Mus musculus: one gene and its partners. The protein of the gene in region 1 purifies or fractionates together with the protein of each later gene. This does not show direct contact. Links are inferred from orthologs where the notes say so. Each region holds a gene or a part of one and is shown in the gene's direction. Other genes may lie near its edges.

Region 1 (4,851 bases):
CTTCCGGGGTCAGGGTCTGATTCCCAGCACCCATGTAGTGGTTCATAAACCTGTCTAATACCAGTCTTAGTCGACTGATGTCCTTTTTTGCGCGCTCCCAGGACACTGCACACATGTGTAGTACACAGACTGTATGCAGGCAAAACACCCCGATGTATAAAAAAGGAATTTAAAGAAATGTTTATTCAGATTAAGAGATTAGTCTCTGTGACTGCAACCAAGATTTTACAGACATCTCAAGCATAGATGTTTCTTTAGGTTTTTGATGATTTCAGACCAGTCTGCATCTGGTATTTTTGTTATTATTATTATTTTGGTTATTGTTTTGCTTTTTTGTTAATTTGTTTGGCAGGGTGGGGCTGGAAGTGAGAGCAGTCAGAGGTGCTGAGTAGATCAGAGGACTACTTAAGAGGATTTGGTTCGGTTCTCTCTACGCTCCTTGAGAGCGCTGTGGGAACTGAATTTATATCAAGCACACAGGCAGCTGAGTGACCTGGTGAGTTTTTGAACGGGAAGGAAAGAAATAGGTGGAGCCGTTGGAAATGGAGAGAGATCTCTGAATCATATATCGGCGTCAAAAGGTGTGCACTTTTACGAGCCATGTAACCCCAGTTAAATAACTTATGCTCTACGAGTCCTTAGTTCTCTCATCTGTAAAACGGGATGTTTGGACCTCAAGCCACCGTTTTAATTTCCCTTCTAGCTCAGCATTCTGAATCCAGGAGTTCGTTGATTTAGGATACATCTGCTCTGTTGTACGTGCTCTAAAAATGAGGATAGAATCCTTTGAACGATGGCTGGAGAAAACCTACAACAGAGATAAAAAGGTAAAAGCAAGGGCAATGGGGGAGGAAGGGGGAAGAGGAGGATGTGAAGGAAGGAGCGGAAAAGATGCTTACAACTGCATAAAGATAAGAGATGCAAATATGCTATATGCAAATAACTCAAAAAATTCAGTTGTCTGAAGAAGCAAGAATAAGACATTGGCCAGGACATCATATCTCGCTTTTAATTGCGTACACATAACTCTCATCTCTCGAAACCTTGGAAGCAAAAAAAAAAAAAAAAAGTAGGAAAAAAATGAAAACGCAAATATATAAATATCTATCTCTCTCTATATAGATGTATATATATCTATATCTCTCACTAGATAGATCTCTCATCTATAGATATGTAGATAGATAAATAGTGCCAGAAGCAGTTTGAAAAGACAGTCTCTGAAAACAAGCGGGTTCCATGGCATGCGGTATGGCGGGGTAGCACAGGAAATCACGCCCCTGCCCCAGCCGCGGCTTAATCCTGCACACAAAGGAACGAGTTAGCGCCTCGGAACCGCCGCGGACCTTCGGCGGGGTCCCCCGTCACCAGCAGCGGGCCGCTGCGCCCTGGTCTCCGCCCCTCGGAAGTGACGTAGGGCGCCCCGCCCCCACCGCCAGATCCGCTGCTGCTGCCTCGGCGGGCCGACCTGCAGGAGGCGGCGGCGGCGGCGGCCGAGGCCGAGGGAAGATGGCGGACGGTGTGGACCACATAGACATTTACGCGGATGTGGGTGAAGAGTTCAACCAGGTACGTGAGGGTCCGGGCTCCGCCGCCGCCGCCGCCGCAGACTGTGCCGCGGCCCGGACGCCCGGCTGACCAGGGCCGCCGCGGGCCGCGAGCCGGCTTCGCTGCAGACCGTGCGCCCTTGGCGCCTCCGGGCCGCGCCGCCGTGCGCGACGGCCCCTCAGCCCTTGTTCTCGCGCGTCGTTTTGCGGGCCGCGGGGCTCTGGAGCGCGGGGCCCGGTCGCCCTGCAGCCGCCCGCCCGGTTCCTCCGGACGGTCTCCCGCTCCATTGTTGGCTCGGTGGCGGGCGCTTCCCGCCGAGCTAGGCCGCGTGTGCGGGGCGGGGAGAACGGGCCGCCGCGCCCCCTCCCCCGCGGCCGGCCAGAGGGGAAGCCCTGGCCCGGCCGCGCGCTCGCCCGCCGCCTCCATCCCGGCCCTGCCGCCTCGGGTTCCGATTCCTCCTCCCGCCGCTCCATTTTGTGTCTCTGTCCGCGCACGGTCGCCTCATGGAAGGCCGCGTTCACAGCCCTTTGTATCCCGCGCGCCCGCTCTCCCTGGGCTCCCGCTCGCCTTTGCGACGGGTTTCGGCGTGGCGCCCGGTTCCTTGCTCGCCGGTCCCCTTAAGGGAAGGCTGCTTAGGTTTGGTTCCATCCGCAACAAGTCATCTGACTTTTGGAGCCACCGATCGCATTTAAAAGTCGGTGCGTCGGCCCGCCTTGGTCATCGAGGGTTTGCAGTGCCTCCGAGGCCCAGTCCTTGGCCTTTGTGAAGCGAAATATCGGAGAGGATAAATGGCTTGCGCCAAAGACTTGGGAGCGCGGTGGCTGGACAGAACAAAAAAGATGGTGGTATCCTAGCTTAACAGACCGGAGAGACTGAAAGGGAGACCGGCCACTCGGAATCGGAATCCTGGGTAGCGTGCCTGACAAGTCGTTGTGAACGTGACTGTAGTTTGAAAGCGAAGTGTTTGCCCTGTGGGCTCGACTTCACGGTTTGAAAGGCTGGAGAAAGTGAGACGTGTAAGGTTTTCCGGTCTCACCCGCCTGGGATGCCTAGAACCAGCGTCTCATGATGAATAAATATCCTTGGAAGGGTCTGCTTGCCAGGGTTTGGATCGTCTAGCCTCTTACTGCCCTCTAAATATTTTTTTTTTTTTAGTGCATTTCCTATATTCACGGTTTTCAAATTTACACCCCACCATATTAAAAAATTCTAAGGTACGGATGAGAACCTGAATAAAATGCCATTGGTTTGTATGGCGTTTTCCCTCCATTGTTTATGACTAGGGATATAAGACTTGAACGAAACAGTGAAAACTCTTAAATCCTTACTGCTTCGTTTTTCAAGAATGACTGTGCTTTTGGCTTAAATGTTAGAAAAGAAAAGCAAATTGTCGTAGGATTTTAATTACTGCTGACAGAGTTTCTCTGTGTAGCCCTGGCTGTTCTGGAACTCATTCTGTAGTCGAGGCTGGCCTCGAACTCAGAGAGATCCGCCTGCCTCTGCCTCTGCCTCTGCCTTCCGAGTGCCTGGAGAGGTTAAACTTTTTTGACCTCAACGAGGAACTACTTTGTAGGCCTCTTTTTTATAACTGTAGCTTTTCGTTGACTTGGTACTTTTAGCATTGTATCTAATACGTGGTTGTGTACTTTTACAAGTAAAATCTTTGTAGGTTTAAGTAGATTAATTGGGAGATTTAAGTAACTTTTCCCAAAATACCTTGTTTGCAGCTCTGGATACTGAATGAACCCAGGGCTTTGCACATCTGGCTAAGCATTCGACCCTGAGCTATAGCCTCGCTCCGGAGGCATTACTTGTTACTGTTTTCTTCGTATAATTGACTTTTATGATTTGCTTGCTCTGAATTTTGAACAAGAAAAGTAGCCACAGAAAGGTTGCCAGTTATCTTAAGATTTGTTATATTTTCTGTGTTACTGTCATTGATTACCCTATCATTCTGAGATTCTACCAGAATTAAAAGCAACAACAAAATTATTTATTGATTTAATTTTCTGGTCCCTCCCTCCCTCCCTCCCTCCCTCCCTCCCTCCCTCCTTTTTGTTAGGTTTTGTTTTTGGGTCCCCCCCTAGTCCCCCAGTCTTGTAGCTTTGTTGACTTAGAACTTATTGTGTATCCCAGGTTTACTTTTTTTTTTTTTTTTTAATTTATGATTGCACCACCTGCTGCCTCCCCCTCCCCAGTGCTTGGATTGTAGCCTGTGTCTGGCTCCTTTTTCCCTCCTTACCCTTACCGTTGGGAGTTTGCACTCAGGTCTTTGCACATGCTAGGCACTTTACTCCTCTGCAACATCCCTAGTAATCTGGTCTCTCTTAATAGATGGTAACCTTATTTCTACTCGCTGCTATAGTAACCAGTGTGATTATTTGACTGTAGTTGAGCAAAATATTTTTCAGAACTGATCATTAGATGTTTTAAATTATTTTGAGTTTTAAACATTTATAAAAGTTAAGTTTTGTATTATTATTTACTTTTTCTTTCTTTCTCTGTCTTCTTTTTTTTTTAACAAACATTTTTTAAAAGATTTATTTTATGTATATGAGTACATACAGATGGTTGTGAGCCTTTATGTGATCGTTGGGAATTGAATTTAGGACCTCTGCTTGCTCTGGCCAACCCCACTAGCTCCGGCCCAAATATTTATTTATTATTATAAGTTCACCGTAGCTGTCTTCAAACACACCAGAAGAGGGCATCAGATCTCATTATGGGTGGCCGTGAGCCACCATGTGGTTGCTGGGATTTGAACTCAGTACCTTTGGAAAAGAAGTCAGTGCTCTTAACCACTGAAGCCATCTCACCAGCCCTGTCTGTCTTCTTTTTTAAAAAACCTGTATGAGTCTTTTTTCCTGCATGAATGTCTTCACTAGGTGGGTGCCTGGTGCCCAAGGAATCCAGAAAAGGGAGTCAGACTTCCTGGAACGAGAGTTATGAGGCCTGTGATCAACCACATAAGTGCTAGGAGTTAAATGTGAGTGCTCTGAAGAGCAGCCTGTGCTCTAACCATTTAGCCATTTCTCTAGCCCCTAAACACATCTTTTGTTGTCTAATGTGAGCTGCAGTTTTAATTGTACTTTGAAACTCTGTCTAGTCATTAGTCTCTTTTTACTATTTAAAATGGTATACTTTTAAAAGGCTTTTTGTATTTTGGCAAAGCACAATAAATTGCAGAAAGTATGAGACTGGAGTATTAAGCTTTATTGCGAGGTAAGATGAGACTTAGGTTGTTAGTGTATTTGCTTTCTTTACTAGGTAAAAAATTTTTTTTAAAGATTTGCCAGGAGGTGGTGG
Region 2 (4,395 bases), on another chromosome or scaffold:
AATGAGAGGATTCAGTAAGTATAGATTTTATTTAAATCTTTTATAAAAATTTAAATTTGAGCTGGGCGTGTTGGTGCACACCTTTAATCCCAGCACTTGGGAGGCAGAAGCAGGCGGATTTCTGAGGTTCGAGGCCATCCTGGTCTACAGTGTGATTTCCAGGACAGCCAGGGCTACACAGAGAAACCCTGTCTCGAAAAAAATCAAACAAACAAAAAAACAAAAAAAAAATTAAATTTGAAGAAACTTGAAAATTTGAGGCAGGGTCTCACTAAACCAAGTATGCTGGATTTAAATGTGCTGAGTAACATATCCAGCATGTGAAGTTGTGAGCAGCCTGCAGCCTGCCTTAGTGTCCAGGTCGCTGAGACTGCAGGCCTTTATGGCTTTGTTCACATGTCTGTGCTTAGTTTTTATAGAACTAAGAAAGAATTCTAGCAGAGTAATGCTCTCTCCCATGAGGAGGGTCTCATCTGTACCTGTGTGAGCAGAGTTTCAGCCTCTTTGCAGCTGTCTGCTTAATGTTTGCTTACCCTTGGTGAAGGGAGCATCAGTTATGTGTTCTATGATAAAGTGTACAGGCATCATGTGGAAACCACCCTGTCTAAGTCTGCAGTCTAGTTAATGGTCACCATCTTTTCATAGCATGTTGATCGTAGTGAGCTATTACAGTGGTAGTTGTAAGTCAGTGACGGTCATCTTAAACTGAGTTTTTCTGAAGTAGGAGACTTTTTTGCATCTTTCCTCGCAGTTGAAGTTGGTTACTTATGATCTCTCTGCTTTTTCCCCCCCTTAAAGGAATCCCATGAGGGCAGATAGTATATCCACAAGCAATATAAAAAACCGAATTGGTAACAAATTGCCTCCTGAGAAATTTGCAGATGTCCGTCATCTCTTAGATGAAAAGAGGCAGCATTCCTGTCCACGGCCAGCAGTCAGCAGTACTAAACCAGGTATTGTTCTTCCCTCTTTTGTGCTCCTGACTCCCTTTTTGTAAGCCCCTTGAGTGGCTTGGTTCCATCCCAGATTACTCTAACGTTTCCAGCCCCTCAGTATGCAAGTGGCCAAGCTCTCTGCCCTGTAGAGGAAAGAAAAAGTCCAAGATCTGGCAGCAAAATCCCACAAATCCCAGGCCACCCTGGAAAGTATCCCACCACTACCACCAAGGAAACCTATATAAAGTCTGGGTCCTGCTCAGTTCTTTGCTCTCAAGCAGAGGTAGCCACCCTCCTGTATCCTTCCCAATAAATGTATGGTGAGAGATTTGTTGTGCAGGGTGACTTTGTGGTATTCATTGGCTTCTAACTGCCACTATACTTTCCCCTCAGAGTTAATCCTGATGCTTGTGAGCACCTGAGAGCAGATGGGCCCAGGGTAGGTTCTTCTGAACTCAATTAACTGTTCCTCTTCTTGTACCTACATCTTTAGTTAGGCGTCCATGAGAAAATAAATAAAGTCGGATTTTGCAACAAAACTACTTTTCAGTATTTTTTGTTTGAAATAATAAATAAATACTAAATAATAATAAATAAGTAATATTACTTCCCTGGGATATTTTATACCCCAAACCAATAAAGTTGGGTGGTTAGAAACATGGTTGAGTGTGAACTAGAGTGTATATGTGAGCAAACCCTAATGAAGCAATATAAGCGTGTGCTTATGGCTAGGGCTGGCATGTGCAAGTCTTTGGGGAGGCTGCAACAGCTGCCACAGAGCTGCTGAGACGATTCGAGCCGGTTTTTGAAGAAAGCAGCTTTAGAGTGTAGTCTTGGGAGGACTAGGACACAGCTGACAAACTATCTTTGGAGGGAGGAAATAATATGATTCTTATTTTAAGAGGTGATTTTGAAGGATTAGAATATAGTGGGCATAGAAGACAAAGTAAAAAGGGCTAAACTTTTTAGGGACAATGACGTCAGAAGGGGTGAGAATGGAACCCTGGGAAGGAGGAGGATGGAAGAGAAGCAACTGAAGAGGCTCAGCCTGAGCTCTTGTGAGGAGTTTACTTGAGAAGTCAAGAGTAGGCTCAAGGCTGATGAACATGTGGCTGCTGTCGCTGCTGCGTGTTAGGGGAAACCTCAGGCCCAGCGGCTCTGTGACGGACTTGGAAGAGAGCACACTTAATTTAGGACACAGCTCCTTTATCCTTGGCCTGTTGCCAGTCTCATTACACTTGTTGGTTAAATGTAGTAAGTTTATTGAGAACTACTTGTGTTTTCAAGGATTGTGGCTTGCAGTATTGTTAGCTGGAAAATGTGATGTGTTACTTAGTTTTGCTTGATTCTGGCAAAAAAGAAAAAAAGAAGAAAAAGAAGAAGACTGCTTCAGGCACTCAGCTGGTAGCCCCTACATCCAAGTTTTAAGTTTTCTTAAGAGAAGCAAGACCAGTTATGAACAGAACCAACCGGCTTCTAGAAGCCTTCTGATGCTGGGTGCTGTGCCTTCACTATGGGAGATTTGGGATCAGGTCTCTAGAGAGCTGTACTGATTAGTTTGTTTGGTTGGTGCCTCTGCCTCTTGAGGTCTGGGATTAAAGACATTTACCATCACCATCTGGTGGCTGGCCAGACTTTTTTTTTTTTTAATCAGCTTAAGAGTTATGGAGGAGGGAACCTTAACTGAGAAAATGCCCCTGCCGGATTAGTTTGTAGAGAAGCCTATGGTGCATTTTCCTGATTGCCGATTACTGTGGGAGGGAGGGCTCAGACACTGTGGGCAGTACCTCCCCTGCACTGTTGGTCCAGGAATAAGGAAGCGGGCTGAGCAAATTCGAGAAGCAAGCCAGTAAGCGGCACTCCTCTGTGGCTGTGCATCAGCTCCTGCCTCCAGGTTCCTGCTCTGTGAGCTTCTGCCCTCACTGCTTTTGATGAGTTGTTATATAGAGAGTGAGTGAAATAAACCTTTCCTCCCCAGGTTGCTTTTGATCGTGGTATTTTGTCACAGCAGTGGCAGCCATGGCTAAGACAAAAGCCTAGTTCATTGGTACTGAGGTAAAACACGTATGCTTGGTAACAGGTATACTTTTTCTCTTTTGGCAGATATTCGCCAGCGGTTAGGAAAAAGACCGTATTCTCCAGAGAAGGCTTTTAGTAGTAACCAGGTGGTTCGGAGAGAGCCCTCTTCAGATGTACATAGTAGGCTAGGTGTTCCCAGGCAAGATGTTAAAGGCCTCTACTCTGATACTCGGGAGAGGAAATCAGGTGAGTAACACTTCACAGTGATGGAAGGGAAGGAGTGGAGACCAGTGGTTATAGCATAAGAAGTAGGTAGGTCTGTGTTTGTTCCCTCTTCAGTTAGCATGACTTCCTTTGTCTACATCAGCATCAGCACCATGCCTACAGGAAAGTTCAGGAAGGAGAAAGGAGAAGCTATACATCCTTGCTGCTTTTTAGTTTCACATTATTTAGTTTCTTTGTTCACACATATATCTAGTTTTTTTTTATGTAGCCTTTTTTTCTATAACTCTTCCATTTTGCTTTACTCTTCATAAGTAAATTAAACCTTTAATTATCTTGTAGTATATGTATATCACCACATTCTAAACACATGCTTCTTTGTAAGGTTTTAATAAAACACTTCTTTTGGGGGATTTTTTTTATGTTTTGCTTACATGTTTGTCTGTGTACTGTGTACATGTCTGGTGCCCTTGGAGGTGGGAAGAGGGCATTGGATCCCCTGGAAGTGGAGTTATGGACTGTTGTAAGGTACCATGTGGGTGTTGGAAACATAACCAGGTCCTCTGCAAGAACAAGTACGCTTAACCAATAAGGCCTTCAGCCAATACATAAACACACTTTAAAAATGTATAGCTGAAAACCTGAGAATTGCTCATAGTAAAACAGACCCGTTCAGTTTGCAGAATGTGAGAGTTGGCGGTTTCTTGGCAGACTGAGGGGTACACAGCCTGGGAGAGAGGCAAGTGTCTAGTTTGTGCCTGGTATGGGGACACCAGCCTTGAGCTGTGAGCATCTCCCATCGAGTCTCAGGCTGTCCACTTACAGACTGGCACCAAGCACCTCTCCCGATGTTTCCTGCAGAGCAGGTGTTGGCAGTGTCCTTACTTCCACAGAACTACTTGGTACTCGGCATCGACTGCCAACTGAAGTGTCTTCTCACCCCAACAGGTGGTTTGTGGACTCGCTTAGGATCTACACCCAAGACCAAAGAAAAGAACACGAAGAAAGTGGATCACAGGGCATCTGGTGCTGAGGAAGATGACTCGGAGCTTCAGAGAGCATGGGGTGCTCTGATCAAGGAGAAAGAAGAGTCTCGCCAGAAGAAGAGTCGGCTGGATAGCTTGCCTTCGCTCCAGATTGAAGTCAGCCGGGAAAGTAGCTCTGGTTCAGAGGCAGAGTCCTGATGCCCTGGCCTTGGCAACTGCCCTTAAATCTGACA
Region 3 (4,395 bases), on another chromosome or scaffold:
AGCAGTGGGAAGGGGCTTCTTGGCTGTGGTGACCTCTCATCCTGCTGACCTTGTGGTGTGGGGCTGTCATCTGACTTAGTTGGGCTCCCCGCCTCTGACCCTGCTTGCTGGTGGTGTAGTCTTCTGTGTTGACCCTGCTTGCTGGTGGTGTAGTCTTCTGTGTTCATCCCATCCTGCAGATGAGTTGTTCTGTTTTCGGTGTGACCTCTCCAGGCTGTGCTTGGTGGGCATCTGGTGTGGCTCCCGCCCTGTGTGTCTCTCTCTGTGTCCTGCCAGTGGTTTTACCCTATGGTAGGTTACGTCATGCTGTTCTACCACAGGGTAGAACCACGGACAGGGTACTGGAGCACCCTCTGCATCGAAGGACTCCATCTACACAGCCACAAAGCCCAGCAGCCAGGGGCTGGCCCCCCTTGACTACGATTCCCCGATTGTTCCCCAATTGTTTAGCTCAAGCTCTGAAGGACCCTGAATTCTGGCTTGAGGCTTATATGTAGGGTGCAGATAGATGCTAAGGCGTCTATTGGGTGGGTGTTGGTTGAGATAAATGGATCCAAATCTGGGTTAGGGTATGCTAATGGGTTCTAGGGTGAAGGGAGGGAAACCTACAAGTGAGGTACCTATGGGGTACCCTGAAGGGATGAGGTGTCTAGAGGCCAAATGAGTCACAGAACTTTCAAGGTTCAGCTTTTGGGAAAATGCTACTGTGTATTCTTTACATTGCACTGCATACCAAATGGGGTGGAGCGGGGCGCTTACTGTCATAGAGCAGAAATGTTGTTGTAGTACATTTATTTATCTATTTATTTATTTATTTGGGGGCATAGGTGTTTAGGGGTTCTCATGGATCGTATACCATGTGTGGCGGTCAGAGGACAACTCCCAGGATTCAGTTCTCATCGTATGCCAAGTGGGTTCTAGGGATTACACTTGGTTGTCAGGCTTGGAAGCAAGAGCCTTTACCTGCCGAGCCTCCGTGCCAGCACAGCCCACAGTGCTTTAAAATGTTACCTTTGTATATGGTGCACAGCCCGCACAGTGAGGCATGGTGGCCCTGGGGGTGAGGAGCCGCTTTGCCATCCAGTGCTCTAGATATTGTAGCATAACTGTGCCCAGGGGGCTGAGAGGCACACACACGGGCTTTCCTGAGCACAAACTTCAGGTGCTGTCCTCTTCACCCAAGACCTGGGATGAGCTGGCTCACTGATCCCCCCAGGCACGTGCATTCAGGTGCTCTGACCCAGCAGAACCCCAGCTGCTGTGCAGAGGGTCCCATTGTCCTGTCCTCTCTTCCCTCACAGAGAGTGGTTTTTCCTCCTGTCCCATGAGGTGCTCAACCCTATGTACTGTTTGTTTGAATATGCTGGGAAGAACAATTACTGCCTGCAGATCAACCCGGCCTCTTCCATCAACCCTGACCACCTCACCTACTTCCGCTTTATCGGCAGATTCATCGCCATGGTAACCCCCAGGGATGCCTCCCTTCTTCTCTTCCTCTTTTGAGACCTTGGGAAGGGCAGCCCCAGAGGAGGCTGGCTCTAGTCACAGTCTAGTCGGCAGTGACATGAACAGCAGCCCTCGTGGACCAGGGTCCTGCCCCCTGACCAGGACTCACTGTGACTCTTCTCTTCCTCACATAATTCCTAACCTGGAAATTAAAACAAAACAAAACAAAACCCCAAGCTAGCTGGCTGTGGAGGAGTGAGAGATTTCACAGTGGCTGCCTAGGGCTATCACAGCATTTCTCATTTTGTGTAGAACTTACTGCATAGAAGCTCAGGGACTTCACCTGAGTCTATAGGGACTTAAAAGATGGGACTGGGCCAAGCAAAGCCCTACCATAGGGAAGGAACCTTTGGGGATGTCTGACTGAGACCCTGGGCCTTCTCAAGAGAGAGAGAGAGAGAGAGAGAGGGATCGGCATGGGCTTAGATGAGAGCCACAGTGAACTGGCTGGTGCAGAGCCAGGGGAGTCATCTAGAAATATAGGCTCAACCGATCAGTCGGCAGCGAGGCAGTCCTGCCGTGTCCTCTTTGATCCACATGAGCAGGGAGCCTGCGAAGCTGTGGTCCTACTGTGCTCCAGTGCCAGCTTTTCTAAGTCGAGGTCCCAAGTTTTCTCACACTTCCGTCTCTGGATTGCTAAGGGACCTACAGCTCTGTCACTAAATATGGCCATTCCTGTCATCTGAAAGGTCTTGACTAAGTGCTTGCAATGGCTCCAGAAGTGGGCACATTCTTCCTGGGTCTGAGACCTACCTGGCCTAGCATCCAGCAAGGACAGAACAGTGAAAGTCCCAGACTGTTACTCACTGCCGGCGGCCAGCTAGCGCCAGCCTCAGTGTCTGCATTATTTTTGGCCCCTTGTGCCACCCTCTCAGAGTGCCAGAGAGCCAGGGCTGCCACCTGGAGCTGTTATGAACAAGTTTTCTCTGGAAATGGGGATAGGCCTTTGCTAGAAGCAGGAGTGGCCTGGCTGGTGTGCTAGGCAGACAGTGGGCCGACATTGCCCTTCCCTGTGGTTTTTGGTGTGGGATGAATCTGTCCCTGTGTCCAAGTTTTAAAAAAGTAAAAAGAAAAAAAAAAAAGAAAAAGAAAGAAAAAGAAAAAGAAAAGTAGGGCTGGTGAGATGGCTCAGTGGGTTAGAGCACCCGACTGCTCTTCCGAAGGTCCAGAGTTCAAATCCCAGCAACCACATGGTGGCTCACAACCATCCGTAACGAGATCTGACTCCCTCTTCTGGTGTGTCTGAAGACAGCTACAATGTACTTACATATAATAAATAAATAAATCTTAAAAAAAAAAAAAAAAAAAAAAAAAAAAAAAAAAAGAAAAAGAAAAGTAGAAAGTGCTGTTTCCCAGGCCTCCCTTTAGCTAGGCCAGCTGGCTGTCAGGGAGGAGGGCAGCCGTCAGCAGAAACGCACCTAAGTCGTCCTCTGCTGCCATCCCAGGAAGGTGAAGCAAGCCCTTTGCTCCGTCTCCTCCCTGTCCAGGCTCTGTACCATGGGAAGTTCATCGACACAGGCTTCACTCTCCCTTTCTACAAGCGGATGCTCAACAAGAGACCGACTCTGAAGGACCTGGAGTCTATTGACCCTGAGTTTTACAACTCCATTGTCTGGATCAAGTGAGTCCTGGCTTGCCCTGTGCTGATGGAGCAGGGTTCTCATGGGCCAGTTGGCACCCCTGGCCTTGGTTTCCTAGGTACCTACATAGCCTCATAGCCTCTCTAAGGCCTATAGAGCTTCTAGTTGCCCTGTAGGACAGACAGATCTACAATTCTCTCCCTGCAGCAGAAAATGTGCCGAGGCACAGGTCAGGGTTCCTGGTCACCTGTGAGTTCCTAGTGTCTCTCGGGGCGGGGCGGGGGGGGGGTTGGAGGGGGCAGTGAGAAGTCAGGCCAGTCAAGACAGACCTTGGTAAGATGGACATTTCCCCCTGGCCTCCTGTGTCCTAGAGAGAACAACCTGGAAGAGTGTGGTCTGGAGCTGTTTTTCATCCAGGACATGGAGATTCTGGGCAAGGTGACAACCCATGAACTGAAGGAGGGCGGTGAGAACATCCGAGTTACCGAGGAGAACAAGGAGGAGTATATCATGTGAGCCTCCACCTGGGGAAGGGAGCATGTTACAGAGGAAAGGAATCTATCTACCCTTGTGTGTGTACAGTGTGTGGCCTGTCTGCCTTGGTTGGTCCGTAATGACTGGAGCTATGGGATGTGGAGCCTCTGGCCTTGGGTGCCAGCTCTGGGGTGGGCTCCTGCATTCAAGAGGCTTCCCAGCTCCAGGGAACTTTGTAAAGAAATACAAGGCCTGGATGCTGCCATCTCTCCTGACCTCTTTTTGTCCAGTGTGTTTCAGCCTTCGGGCTCTCTAATGCTGATGTATAACCCCCACCCCACTCAGGTTCTTTAGGCCTCTTGGTCTAGTCCATTAAACCTTACCTGGGTGTCTGAGGTCCAGCAGTTAAAAGGCATGATGTCCCGGGCTCCATCTTTGGTTTTAGGCTGCTGACTGACTGGCGATTCACCCGAGGCGTGGAAGAGCAGACCAAAGCTTTCCTGGATGGCTTCAATGAGGTTGCCCCTCTGGAGTGGTTGAGATATTTTGATGAGAAAGAGCTGGAGGTGGGTGCCAAAGATTGGGAGTCCTTGACCTCAGTGCTTCTAGGGTGCCCCAGCTCCACGATACATACCTACAGAACTCGCACACCAAGTCCCACATTTTGGCAAGCTAAATGCAGCAGGATGGGAACTGTTACCTGGGTCCTCAGCCCAAATTTCCCTATGCTTAGAGGTCAGGGCCCTTAAATGTCCTGGCACAATAGCAGGTTGAGAAAGTTTGGGAGTCTGATGGTGAGAGAGGCAGCTCTTCATGGGCACAAGGCGGTGCCGTG
Region 4 (4,395 bases), on another chromosome or scaffold:
CTGATGGTTTTTACTCTCTATACCTCTCTTGAAGCTGCGGGTCAGATTCCAGCCACTGCCCTTCTCCCGACCATGACTCCTGATGGTCTGGCTGTGACCCCAACGCCAGTGCCTGTGGTTGGGAGCCAGATGACCAGACAGGCCAGACGTCTCTACGTGGGCAACATCCCTTTTGGCATTACTGAGGTACTGCCCTCCTCCTACCCCTGCCCTCTCCCCTGTTTCCCCACCCTGTGCCTCCCCACCCTCCATTCCCTTTCCCCAACCTGCACGCGTCAGACTCTGTTCCTGCAAGACCCCCCGGCCCCCTCCCAGACGGACGGATGGAGTTGAGCCAGCCAGGGGCCGGGCTGGGGGTGGCCCCTCCCTCCCTCCTCTTCCCCTCTCCCGTCTCCCTTTCCCCAACCTCCTCCAGCAACCCAGGGATCAAACACACACATAACGTACCCACCTACATATTGTACCTACGTGTTGGAGAGAGACAGAGAGGGAGACTCAACACACGTACAAACAGACGCACGCCCCTACAGTTTTCTGACATGCTCTCCTTTTCTGCCGTCTATCCACATCCTTTTCCCCACATCCCTCCCATGGTCGCTGTTCTTTTGTTTTTGGTAGTCCTGACCTCCCCCACCTTCCCCACCGCTCCTCTCCCCCATCCCTCTCCCCCACCCCTTCCCGTGGCACCCCCTGAGAATCCCGAGATCAAAGAGTTGTTTCCATTTCTCTTTAAAGTGAAATATTGTGGGGCTGAGATCCCTCGTAGCAACAAAAAGTTTGCTACCATCGTTGAAGGCAAGTAAGGTCCATTCTGACTTTCTCAACCTGCACTTTGCTACATTTGATAAACCAGCCCCCGGACTCCAGGGCCAGATCCCTCCACATCACTCTTTTCTCCTCCCCTCCCGCCCTACCCCTTCTTCCCCTGCTCCTCCACCCCTCCCCGCCCCTGCACTCTACTTGTTCTGCCTCTCTGGGCACCCTTCCTGTCCCTTTGCTTGTCTTTCTCTTCCTGCCTGTTGCTCTCCTACCCTTTCCTGCCTTGTTTGCAATGGGCATTTCTTCCTTGTGTCATCATGTTTTTTGTTTTTGTTTTTTTTTCCTCTTGCTGTCACATCCTTTCATCTTTTCTTGAATAACTTTTCCTAACTTTTTGGGCTCCATGGCTCATCCCTCATGCCTGTCCTCCTGTCTGGCCCATTTGCTCCCTGTCTCCTGTCCTTTGGTATTGCTTCTTCTCTGTTTTCTCATTTTCCTCCTGCATTTTTTCCTACTATTGACCTCTACACCCCTGACCCATATTCCACTGTCCCTTTCCCTCCCCGTTCTCCCTTCCCCCATTCCTCTCCCCTTACCCCCAAACCCCTCTGTGTCTCCCTCTCTCACCCTTCCCCTCCTCTCTCCACCTCCCTCCCCGCCCTTCCCTGTCTCCTATTCCCTCTGCAGGAGGCTATGATGGACTTCTTCAACGCCCAGATGCGCTTGGGAGGGTTGACTCAGGCCCCTGGCAACCCAGTCTTGGCTGTGCAGATAAATCAAGACAAGAATTTTGCCTTTTTGGAGGTGAGTTTTCCAGTGATAAGGGTAAGGGGTAGTAGGGATGGTCTGTGCTGCCTACTCTGACTGCTTTCCCTGCAGCTCATTTTCCATTTGGCTGCTGGAGTAGTTCTGTAGTCCTGTCCTACCTTATGCCTTCCTATGCTCTACCTCACTGGGAGGACTTTGTGGCTTCTTCCTGCTTTGTTGGTTTTTGAGACTATTCTGGCCCAGTCCACTCTGCTTAGGCTACATTGATCTTGCAGAGGGCTCGATGTTTCTCCCTATTTGGGGCCTAGGTTGAGGCAGTTTACTCTCGGTGTTTATACGTTACGTTTGGGCAGTTCGTTAGTTTGGAACTGTCTGTAAAGACCTAGCTCGACTCTGGGGTCATACTCCTAAAAACCGTGGGGTGTTGGCATGACCAAGGCTGCGGAAGAGGTTTTTCAGTGTTCCCTTTTCAGACTGCATTGCCCATAAGAGTCCACTTTGATTTGTACTCTTGGAGACTAATGTCACTTCATCAGAAAGCCTGGGCTGTCATTGCCACGTAACTTAGTTGACCTAACTTTTCTATGCTGGCTTCTCAGCAGTTGGTCCCTTTCCAACATTGTCAGAGTTTATGATAGTGTGCTTGCTATCTGCTGGGTGCGAGGATATTGCTTTCTAGAGTGTGAGCTTCTAGAAGCTATCTGGTAGTGCTTGTTCCCATTGTTCATTATGGGTTTGGTACTATGTTTGTTTATATAAGTGGGAGGAAAGTTAAGAGTCTTGGGGGCTGGTCTAGTCCCAACCTACCCCTTAGCTCTGTTGTTTCTCTTCCTTCAGTTCCGGTCAGTGGATGAGACGACCCAGGCCATGGCATTTGATGGCATCATCTTCCAGGGCCAGTCATTGAAGATTCGAAGGCCTCATGACTATCAGCCATTGCCTGGCATGTCAGAGAACCCCTCTGTTTATGTGCCTGGTGAGTGGGAATTCGTTGGGTGGGTGGTATGGGGAGTCACTGTTTCCTCAACCCAGGTTCCTGTACTTAGTCCAGCTAGAGTTGCTTTGGAGATAGTGTGTGTGCGCTGTGGATGTTCTTCTAGCTTGGCAGGTGTCCTGGGCCTTTGAGGTGGTGATCTGTGATCTTCAATCTTAAAGTTTAGCTTAGCTTGTAAATGTCAGAGCCAGGTCCAGATCAGAGGTGTCCTGGAAAGTGTGGGACTTGCAGTCTGGGCATTGTTTTTACCTTGTCCCCTTAGCCCTGGGATTTTAGGGCTTGATGTGTTGTGTATGCTATGTATTTGTAAGTACATATCAACAGATCTTTGCATGGTTCTGGTGTGTGGCCCTAGCATGTTAGTGTTCACTGATTCCATGTCTTTGGCATGTGTTCTGTACTGTTTCCTATAATTGTATATAGTATAACCTCTGATTGGTAGGTCACGATAGATCTTTACTGTTTAAGCTACAGACGGGGTCATTAGAAATTTGGATTTTTTGTGATCCCCCCCCCCCCCCCCCAATTCTGCACTAATCTTTCAGTGTTTAGCTGTAGTTTGCTGGCCTTTCCTTTGGCAGGTCAGGCGGGATGAGCTGGGATTTGCAGGCTGTATGACCCCTGCTGAGCTTCAGGAAACACTGGTGCTGGGGTCCAGCTGAGTCAGTGAGGCCCAGGTCTGAGGCTGATTGCAGTGAATGTGGGGTCCTCCGAGTAGATGCTCAGCATCAGAGGGTGCCCACTGGAACCAGGTCAAGTCACCCCTTCTCTATAGAGGAAGGAGCACATTTCTGGTAGTGTAGGACTTGGGGTTAGGGCCTGACTACCGAATGCTTTCTTACTGCAAGTTCTGGTCACATACCTGAGTCTAAAGCTAGCATGCTCTTGAAAGTATTGCTTGGAGAAGATTCACAGTGGTACTGGGGCTTGAACTCCAGTCCTTGTGCTTGTCAGGAAAGCACTTACTGTCTAACCTGAATCCCAAGCCCCTTTTTAAGTTCTCATTTTGAGGTAGGGTCTCACTAAGTTTGCCTAGACAGGCCTGGAACTTGGGGGCCTCCTTCCCCCAGCTGCATGGGTAGTTGGGATTATAGCCCTGTGCCACTAGGTCCTGCTTGCTTACTGACTTTCAGGTGAAGCTGTAGAACATCTTTTTTTTGTATCTCTTGGCACTAAATTCATTGTTTGGATTGCTCTTTAATTCCATGAATAGACAGCCACCTGCTGGTTTTACTGACACAGTGTGGCATGCCAGGTATTGCCTGTTCCTGAATCTTCTTTTAGCCTTCACTCAGCTAATTATGACTTGGAAGTCAGTTGTGACCCACTGCTTGGTTTTTTGTTGTTGTTGTTTGTTTTTCAAGACAGGGTTTCTCTGTGTAGCCCTTGCTGTCCTGGAACTCGATCTGTAGACCAGGCTGACCTCGAGCTCAGAAATGTCTCCCGAGTGCTGGGATTAAAGGTGTGCGCCACCACGCCTGGCCCACTGCTTGTTTTTACAAATAAATTTTGGCACAGTGTCATTCCTTTTATATTACTTTTATTACTGGTCTCATTGTGGTATTAGGAATTGAACTTAGAGCCTTGCATATGCTAAGCAGGTGGTTCGCCACATGGGGATACTCTCAGCCTTTTTACTAGTAGTTTGAGGCAGGCTTTCTCTGTGTTTCCCAGGGAGGCCTTGAACTTTGGATCTTCCTGCAGAGTTGGATTATAAGCTTGTACCAGCAGGCCTAGCTGTAGTTTTTTGACACATGGTATAACTGTATCTTAGACTGGCCTCTTAACTTGATTTTCTGCCCCCAGTATTGAGATCACAAGCATGTGCCACATCACATGTCGTGGATGGAATTGTCACTTTACAGAGGAGGAAA

Evidence for each region.
Region 2: the proteins of Cpsf6 (region 1) and Ncbp3 purify together in Homo sapiens (co-immunoprecipitation; 3 studies listed by BioGRID and IntAct, with this or other methods). This does not show direct contact. The link is inferred for Mus musculus from reciprocal best matches to the Homo sapiens genes CPSF6 and NCBP3.
Region 3: the proteins of Cpsf6 (region 1) and Wwp2 purify together in Homo sapiens (affinity purification with mass spectrometry; 3 studies listed by BioGRID and IntAct, counting the BioPlex papers as one, with this or other methods). This does not show direct contact. The link is inferred for Mus musculus from reciprocal best matches to the Homo sapiens genes CPSF6 and WWP2.
Region 4: the proteins of Cpsf6 (region 1) and U2af2 fractionate together in Homo sapiens (co-fractionation; 3 studies listed by BioGRID, with this or other methods). This does not show direct contact. The link is inferred for Mus musculus from reciprocal best matches to the Homo sapiens genes CPSF6 and U2AF2.

The regions. Positions count from the first base shown.
Region 1 is NC_000076.6:117,373,554-117,378,404, reverse strand, and holds the start of Cpsf6 (cleavage and polyadenylation specificity factor subunit 6), read left to right. Parts: upstream 1-1,431; 5' UTR 1,432-1,506; coding exon 1,507-1,566; intron 1,567-4,851. UniProt on the Homo sapiens protein: Component of the cleavage factor Im (CFIm) complex that functions as an activator of the pre-mRNA 3'-end cleavage and polyadenylation processing required for the maturation of pre-mRNA into functional mRNAs.
Region 2 is NC_000077.6:73,074,817-73,079,211, forward strand, and holds part of Ncbp3 (nuclear cap-binding protein subunit 3), read left to right. Parts: intron 1-798; coding exon 799-953; intron 954-3,038; coding exon 3,039-3,200; intron 3,201-4,124; coding exon 4,125-4,360; 3' UTR 4,361-4,395. UniProt on the Homo sapiens protein: Associates with NCBP1/CBP80 to form an alternative cap-binding complex (CBC) which plays a key role in mRNA export. NCBP3 serves as adapter protein linking the capped RNAs (m7GpppG-capped RNA) to NCBP1/CBP80.
Region 3 is NC_000074.6:107,550,976-107,555,370, forward strand, and holds part of Wwp2 (NEDD4-like E3 ubiquitin-protein ligase WWP2), read left to right. Parts: intron 1-268; exon of another isoform or gene 269-338; intron 339-1,301; coding exon 1,302-1,461; intron 1,462-2,993; coding exon 2,994-3,127; intron 3,128-3,457; coding exon 3,458-3,598; intron 3,599-4,005; coding exon 4,006-4,126; intron 4,127-4,395. UniProt on the Homo sapiens protein: E3 ubiquitin-protein ligase which accepts ubiquitin from an E2 ubiquitin-conjugating enzyme in the form of a thioester and then directly transfers the ubiquitin to targeted substrates.
Region 4 is NC_000073.6:5,067,998-5,072,392, forward strand, and holds part of U2af2 (splicing factor U2AF 65 kDa subunit), read left to right. Parts: intron 1-34; coding exon 35-186; intron 187-735; exon of another isoform or gene 736-795; intron 796-1,446; coding exon 1,447-1,563; intron 1,564-2,364; coding exon 2,365-2,503; intron 2,504-4,395. UniProt on the Homo sapiens protein: Plays a role in pre-mRNA splicing and 3'-end processing. By recruiting PRPF19 and the PRP19C/Prp19 complex/NTC/Nineteen complex to the RNA polymerase II C-terminal domain (CTD), and thereby pre-mRNA, may couple transcription to splicing.